Arabidopsis thaliana: one gene and its partner. The protein of the gene in region 1 interacts with the protein of each later gene in a pairwise test. Each region holds a gene or a part of one and is shown in the gene's direction. Other genes may lie near its edges.

Evidence for each region. The genes of interacting proteins can lie anywhere in the genome.
Region 2: the proteins of AT5G10580 (region 1) and AT2G04080 interact in a protein complementation assay, tested with the Arabidopsis thaliana proteins (one large-scale study listed by BioGRID).

What each region holds. Positions count from the first base shown.
Region 1 is NC_003076.8:3,345,492-3,349,832, forward strand, and holds AT5G10580 (plant/protein (Protein of unknown function, DUF599)), read left to right. Parts: upstream 1-1,889; 5' UTR 1,890-2,019; coding exon 2,020-2,187; intron 2,188-2,593; coding exon 2,594-3,140; coding exon of another isoform or gene 3,141-3,166; exon of another isoform or gene 3,167-3,527; coding exon 3,528-3,565; 3' UTR 3,566-3,642; coding exon of another isoform or gene 3,643-3,792; 3' UTR 3,793-3,807; downstream 3,808-4,341. Other genes in the region: AT5G10590 (uncharacterized protein), read right to left, coding at 3,643-3,792, 3,885-3,977.
Region 2 is NC_003071.7:1,356,633-1,360,948, reverse strand, and holds AT2G04080 (MATE efflux family protein), read left to right. Parts: upstream 1-1,545; 5' UTR 1,546-1,789; coding exon 1,790-2,035; intron 2,036-2,123; coding exon 2,124-2,668; intron 2,669-2,762; coding exon 2,763-2,849; intron 2,850-2,929; coding exon 2,930-2,986; intron 2,987-3,062; coding exon 3,063-3,507; coding exon of another isoform or gene 3,508-3,537; exon of another isoform or gene 3,538-3,571; coding exon 3,572-3,622; 3' UTR 3,623-3,793; downstream 3,794-4,316.

The sequences.
Region 1 (4,341 bases):
TAATACTCAAGAGTTAAATTCTGAGAGTCTTAATTAAAAACAAAACAAATGAAATGATGAATTGTATGTACATATATATATTCTGGTTTAAGGAATGTATGTACTTGGTGGATTATTAAATAGAGTTGTATAACTTTAAAAGTAAAACGTCAGATATAGCGTGCGGAATATATATACTATAAGCATCCGATAGATAAGTCGATTCATGCATGAATCACAAAAACTACACCCATTTAGAAATACAGTTAGGTATTTTATCACATGGAAAATTACAAGATAGTTCAATACTACTATTCCACAATCTTATAATTTGTTTCTCCATGAGTAGGCCTAGCTATCCATGAGCATCTATTCTGGCCAGGTTTTAAAAATGGGTGCCTAGTTTTCTAGTACTAAAATATACTACAATTTTATCAAGAAGAATCATCAAGATTTATTGGAACATTCCCTGAATTTTTGGGGGTCATGTAGGTTACTTTCTTTATTCGAATAAGCATGCACATGTTTTATAAATTGTGATGCGTATTTTGGCAAAAGTTTTCCGCAGCCCAAATAAAATCACTAGACCAAACTCGAATAAACTGCATGTATACATAGATGTTGAATTGAACTCTTAGAGATTCAAATTTACAATCGGTTTCTAATTAATTACGCTTCCAACTACGTTTTTGATCTGTCTTATTCAAAAATCAGATAGGGTTTTTAGACACTTCGTTACGGCTCCTTGGTTTTTAAAACCTTTTAAGGCTAAACCTGAAACTCAAGTGGTTTTGTCCATATCTCTCAGCTCAACATATTTATAACTATTATGTGTTTGGTATAAAGCATGCACATATTTTATAGAGAATTTGCATGTTAACGCATCTCTATTTGTAGAGTCCGTAGATATTTAATGTATATTATGTTATCTTCATAAAAATAGTGTGAGCAAAAGGTATAAAAGTAGTCGTATATGTAGAAAGGACAAAGGGTGTTTAATCTCAACAAGCACGATTTTTCTTTAACTACAAGAAATGAACCAACCTTTAGCCAATTGGGTCTGACTCATGTTCAAGAAACTTTAAAAGTTACTTTAATTTCTTTCATTTAATCATTTTTGTCATTAGTTTTATTAAAAAAATATTAGTGCACCTATTCCACGATCGATCGAGATCTAGGATCCTAAGGAGAAATGACCAAATTTTATGCTCGAGTAAACCCGTTTCCTTTAGATGATCATGATTAAAACCATAGTCGATGTAAAATCATCAGTGAGCAATAAATACGAAAATTGATGTTTGATATTCAGCGATGAACATTTTCGACTTGGGATGTCTTTTTGTATGCCAAAAAATAAAAGAAAATAAGAAATGCACTAGACTGAAGAAGACTAGTAACGTAATGACGTGGAGATAAGTTAGGTCATAGTGTAACATGTGTACATAGCATCATCGTCTACAACAAACGTTATATTTCTTAATTTCACCTTTTACCAAAAAACAAACGTTATATTCTGTTATCATCTCTGTGACATGTTCCAAAACCATCTAATCTAAGTCTTGTCTCCTTTATCTACATATACGGACAATTAGATATCACATGTACGAATATACAGGCAATGTGGGACAAAATTCAAAAAAATGTGTCTAAAAGGGGACAAGTGGTCATTAACCTTAATTTAAATTACGGCCAAATGTTTAGTAACTAAATAAATATGGGGTCGAAATGTAAATTCTAAATTATCTCACAAAGTGGGGTACAGAAGTGAACACTAATAAGTCATAAAGAGAGATTTAAAGGAGAAACGAAAAGCATTAAGATTTAATTTATATGAAATTAGTGAAAACCAACCAAAAAGAATTTATATGAAATTCTAAGGGGCAAATTGCGGAACAAAGATTGTAAATAGCAAAAGGAGTTTCAGTATAAATATATGGGGACAAGGGCCATAAAAATAACAAAAACATTCTTAGAGAGCTTTGGAGATAACGAGAACAAGAAAGAAAGAGAAGATTATATACATAGAAAAGGAGAGATCAAATGGAGTGGGAGAAATGGTACTTAGATGCGGTTCTTGTGCCAAGTGCTTTACTTATGATGTTTGGTTACCACATCTATTTGTGGTATAAGGTTCGAACCGATCCTTTCTGCACCATTGTTGGTACAAATTCCCGCGCCCGTCGATCTTGGGTAGCAGCCATCATGAAGGTAGTTATATTACTCAAAAACGATATATATCCCGAAATAATCTTTCAAAAATCTTGTGTTAAGTGATTGTAGTAACTAGTAAGTAGTAATTACTAATTAATCATCATATTAGCGAAAGTAATTAGCTTCATTGAACATATATACCATAATGTTTACTAACTGCAATTTTTCTATGAAAATTGCTTATGCAAAAACTTAGTATAGGTGTCGGCCCAAAATTTTATTAAGTCCGTATGAATACAAAATAAATAAATTTGCATGCATATTTGGCCAATAAGAGACTATAAATCCATACAATGTCATAATATCTCTATGTATACATCATTAACTTTCTTCATATATATGTACACAGTATATACATAGAATTACTTCTCAAATAGTAACAATATACTGTGTCTTTGTTCAGGACAACGAGAAGAAGAACATCTTAGCGGTACAAACACTACGAAACACGATAATGGGAGGGACGTTAATGGCAACCACTTGCATCCTCCTCTGCGCAGGTCTCGCTGCCGTTTTAAGCAGTACTTATAGCATCAAGAAACCTTTAAACGACGCCGTATATGGAGCTCATGGTGACTTCACTGTTGCACTCAAATACGTAACCATCCTCACAATCTTCCTCTTCGCCTTCTTCTCTCATTCTCTCTCCATTCGCTTCATCAACCAAGTCAACATCCTTATTAACGCTCCTCAAGAACCTTTTTCTGATGATTTCGGCGAAATAGGAAGCTTTGTGACTCCCGAGTATGTCTCTGAACTACTCGAGAAAGCTTTCTTGCTCAATACGGTAGGTAATAGGCTGTTCTACATGGGCTTGCCTTTGATGCTATGGATCTTTGGGCCTGTGCTTGTGTTCTTGAGCTCTGCTTTGATAATCCCTGTTCTTTATAACCTCGACTTCGTGTTTTTGTTGAGCAATAAGGAGAAGGGTAAAGTCGATTGCAATGGAGGTTGTGATGACAACTTCTCGCCTTAATTATCTGTTGATGTTGAATTCGAATAATGATAAAGCTGTTTGTTATTACTGATTTACTAGTCTAAAAAGTCTTTCGATTTACTCTTTTCAAAGCTTACCAAAAAAAAAATGTACTAGATCCGAGTCTTTTTTTAATTTTTAATTTTTTTTCCTGGTGAAGATATTCATGATCTGCTATATATAATTAGTAAAAGTTCCATGGATAGTCAAAATGGAAATTAATTAACAAAACTATCTTTTTTATAAAATTTTTTATTACTATGCTGCTAACAAGTAACAATGATGCGACCATCCTTAGTCCCTTACACTTGATTCGTCTATTATTTTTTCTAATTCAAATGTCAATTTTTTAATGGCACAGATACTCGTTTTCAAGTCAATGGAGTGATACTCATCTGAATTGGTCGTGTCTTTTTCCTTTATATTAGCCCTATCAGCGGCTTTAATAATTATAACAGACATTATTATATTGATGATTATTGGGATCCAATGAAGAAAGCGCGGATCACCAAGTTTTTGATCATTGGTATATGCGATTCATCCATTTCATAACGGATAATCATTCTTACGCGATGATCTGCTGAGAGTGTGACAATTATTTGATCGTTTACGCTATGTTCCTTAACCTGGTCATAAACAACGGTATATATATATATATGCGTTACCTTAACTACTTCACAAGCAAGGTTTCAACTTTTCAAGTAAGGAATTCACTCACCGTAGTCTCTGCAATACCAAAATCATCCAACAAGCTCATCGATAAGTAATCTTTTTTGCGCCAGTGAATTTGAACATCTGAAATAGTATCCATCATTTTAAATAGCTATCACCTAGGCATAATTTTCTAATAAACACGAATTCACAAAAGCGTAAATAGATATATTTGAATATACAAGTAGATTACCGGAGTTTTCAAGTATGGATATGATGACGTTGCTAACCTCCGAAGTTATGTTCATCATCTGCACCATAAATTACTTGTAAGAATTAACTCCGAGTGATCATTCACTTTTATACTTTTCATAAATACAAAAATAAAACAAGACAATACTTTTCTTGTTCCTGACACAGAAAGCCTTCCGAGAAGAAGTGCAAATGAAGGTGACGAAACATGAGGAGCTTCTTTGAGTACTAAAGCATGATGAGGAGGTTCAATGTTTTTTGAGTATGGGAAG
Region 2 (4,316 bases), on another chromosome or scaffold:
GAGCTTAATAAATAAAATTATTTCCGCGACACTACTTCCCTTAATTAAGCTTGCCGGTTTATATGTGCAGATTTGACTCACACAATAGACATTAGACAATATAGTATGTTTTTGAAATATATTTTTTGAGGTTATTTCATGATAAGTAATACTGCAAAATATAAATTTTTCAAACATAAATTTATACATTGAACCTCATATCTATTTGTTTCTATTATTTAATTTATTTTAATGACAATGTGTTCTATACTATATTTAAATTTTAGTAAATAATTTTCTTAAATTATATAATTTTTCAATACTTTCTTAATAAACTTCTAGATGTGAAATAGTTTTATAAAAAAAAAAATACATATTCTGGTTATATTTTTTCATATAGAAAAGAAATGGTGTGATTCATATTTTTTCAAGTTTTCTAAGAAATCAAATAATGAGTAAGTCAACAAATAAAATCTCATATAGTGGCTAAGAACTTGAAGTCATTTAGTGAGAAGGAAACCAATAAAAAAATTTACCTATAAATTAAAGGGCAATTAAATGTAAGAACAGTTTAAATAATTAAAAATTATTAACTAAAGTAATGAATCTATTAATTAATTGAAAATAAATATATGTGAAAGAATATTTGTACAAAAAAGCAAATAAAATATCTAGTAGATATATTTCTGAAATAAGTATTTAGAAATTTAATTTTTTGTTTTACTTGATTTTTCAAAATTTTATACCAAAATACAATTTATTTTAATCTTATAATTTTATTTCTAATCAAGGTGTTCCAATTTCATTTCGCTAAATGTTATAGAACCGATCCCAATACGAACGCGAACCTCACTTATCAGCTCTCAATCTCTCAACTCGAAGTTTGTTTGTGTGAATCAAAGAAGAAACAGAGAACAACACACAAGAATTTGTTACCCAGTTCAATCTAATCTGTGTGATTAGATCTACGTCTGGAGCCAGATAGATCCGGCAATCCACTATATGAGATGTTTACAAACTTCTCTGAGCTCAATACAAGATCAATGAAGAACCCTAATTTTCTGGGTTTAAGAGAGATCGTAACAACTTTCTAACGGAATGAAGAAGAAGAAGATAACAGACTTCTATTTATATGTGTTTGACTTCGAGCATCGAAGCCTCTTTCAGAATGAGAGTCTTCCAATCATAACTTCCTTCTTCTGTAAACCAAAGCGAACCGTTTCAATAACCAACTCCAATCTGCTGTTAAACCGAATGTCATCAGACCAACATTAAACCGGAATTGGATCATATTCATAACATTATATCAAACAAGGAAAAAAAAACTATTCACTATTGTCGGCAATAATTAACTTTTTGAAAAATCGAAACAACAAGGCCACCACGTCTACAAAAATCAGAAACCAATTCATGCACATGATATATGTGTTTAATAAATATAATTTATATGGACCCTCTTAATAATATAATTTATATGGAGCATTTATTATTATGGGTACATCATATCATATCTGTTTTTACCTTAATAAATAGAATAACATTTTTTTCTGTGACACACATTGAAGAGAGAAAACTATTTGTCCCACAGTCAATTACGGGTCTAAAATTTGGTAGTAACAATAATACTTTCATATGCATATCTTAACATGAGAAAAAAATGTTTTCACTGGTCGAGCAGAGTTATATATATATTTAGATATTGACGAAAAGTCTTCATTGACAATAAATTACATTGGTTTCGTCCATCAGTACAAGATTGGATATGATCTAAAAAATCAGAGGCAAATCAATCAAGATTAAGAAGACGACAATGGAAGAGCCATTTCTTCCGAGAGACGAGCAGTTAGTCTCTTGTAAATCCACATGGCAAAGTGGTCAGGTCACCGTCGAGCTGAAGAAAGTGAGCCGCTTGGCCGCTCCTATGGCCACCGTAACCATAGCTCAGTACTTATTGCCTGTCATCTCAGTCATGGTCGCCGGCCACATCGGCGAGTTGGAGCTCGCCGGTGTCGCGCTTGCCACGTCTTTCACAAACGTTTCCGGCTTCAGCATAATGGTAATTATGCTATTACTCTCTCCTCTTCATTTCAAGAACTCAATTAACTTTCCAATATTGAAATATTGCTGCATTCTTTTTTGTGTAGTTTGGGTTAGTTGGTGCATTGGAAACTCTTTGTGGCCAAGCCTATGGAGCAGAACAATACGAAAAAATCGGAACCTATACATACTCTGCAATGGCTTCCAACATACCAATTTGTTTCATCATATCAATTCTATGGATTTACATCGAAAAGCTCTTGATCACTCTCGGGCAAGAGCCTGACATCTCTAGAGTCGCTGGCTCCTACTCATTGTGGCTCGTACCGGCTTTGTTTGCCCATGCTATTTTCTTACCACTGACTCGGTTTCTGCTAGCACAAGGGTTGGTTATTTCCCTGCTATACTCTGCCATGACCACCCTTTTGTTCCATATTGCGGTTTGCTGGACTTTGGTTTTCGCGCTTGGTCTTGGAAGCAATGGAGCTGCTATTGCTATTAGTTTGTCTTTCTGGTTTTACGCTGTGATACTCTCATGTCATGTGAGATTTTTCAGCTCTTGCGAGAAGACTCGCGGATTTGTATCAAATGATTTTATGTCTAGTATCAAGCAGTACTTCCAGTACGGAGTCCCATCCGCTGGATTGATTTGGTAAGTAAACCATTTTCACGTGTCTTGTTGGTTAAGTTACAATACACCGATGCTTCCTCTTATCTTGCTTGCATTTTTTTGTCTTCTTTGATAGCTTAGAATGGTGGCTGTTTGAGCTACTCATACTCTGCTCAGGTCTTCTCCCAAACCCAAAACTCGAGACATCTGTTCTTTCGATTTGGTAAGTATCATATTACTTCTTTTTATCCTATGTGTTCTCTTTACCAAAATGTATTAATCTTATGTCTTTCATGTTATCAGTCTTACAATAGGAACTTTACACTATGTGATTCCATCTGGAGTCGCGGCGGCTGTGAGGTATGATCTCAACTCTCAAACCAGAACAAGTGTTCAACAATTCCTTTCTCAACATTAGTCATTTGGTTTCTTGAAGCACACGAGTGTCAAACAAATTGGGAGCTGGAAATCCTCAAGTTGCTAGGGTTTCCGTATTGGCAGGGCTTTGTCTCTGGCTTGTAGAGTCAGCTTTCTTTAGCACACTTCTCTTCACCTGCCGAAACATCATAGGCTACACATTCAGCAACAGCAAAGAAGTTGTTGACTATGTTGCTGACATATCTCCTTTGCTCTGTCTCTCCTTCATCCTCGACGGATTAACGGCAGTTCTAAATGGAGTGGCTAGGGGATGTGGGTGGCAACACATTGGAGCTTTGATCAACGTGGTGGCTTATTATCTTGTAGGAGCTCCTGTTGGAGTTTACTTAGCTTTCAGTCGTGAGTGGAATGGAAAAGGACTCTGGTGCGGTGTTATGGTTGGATCCGCGGTGCAAGCCACTTTACTGGCTATCGTCACAGCCTCCATGAACTGGAAGGAACAGGTTAGAGTTTGTTACATTCTAGTTTTTTGAATGCTCTGAAGTAACTGGACTCTATTATTTGCAGGCTGAGAAAGCAAGGAAGAGAATAATCTCTACTGAAAATGGATTGGTTTAAATAAAGGTTGTTCCTAAGAGCTATCTCAAAGTATTTGCAAGTCATGTGCAAAAAAACATGTAATGTTATTTTGATGGGTTATAATATTTTTTTGTAAAACTTTTATCCAGGATTTATACATTTTTTCTTGAGTTGATATTTTCGTTAGTTAGAAAAATTATTCGAATTGCACATGCTGAAAGATGATTTATTTATTTTCTTCAAACTTTAATATACAAATGTAACAAGTAAATAAAAACTCATTAGTTCCAAACACCATGGGATTAAAAATGGCCTCAGCTGCAATCAGTCCTATCTTTATAAAAAACAACTATGTGAGTCCTATCCATTATCCCAATAAGTCCACTAAAAATGGCCTGTATGGCACAACCAGATTTAACACTTAGTATTAACTTTAAAATTCACAAAAGAAAATAATCTCTCTTATATATGGTCCAAACATAATAACTTTACACTAATGATCCATAAGAGTTTTCACATACATGTTTCTTGACGTAAATCATTAAAAATATATAGATGAAAAATACTTATAGAAGATTCAAATTCCACATAGTCCACTAATGTTATGTCATTTAATTAGTAGGTTTAGTGGTGAAAACTTAATACGAATTCCTACCTTTTTATCAGCCTCAGCTGCACGTTTGAACTGTCTAGTTGTTATTTAAACCAAAAAAATGTTTTTGTTAATTAAGAC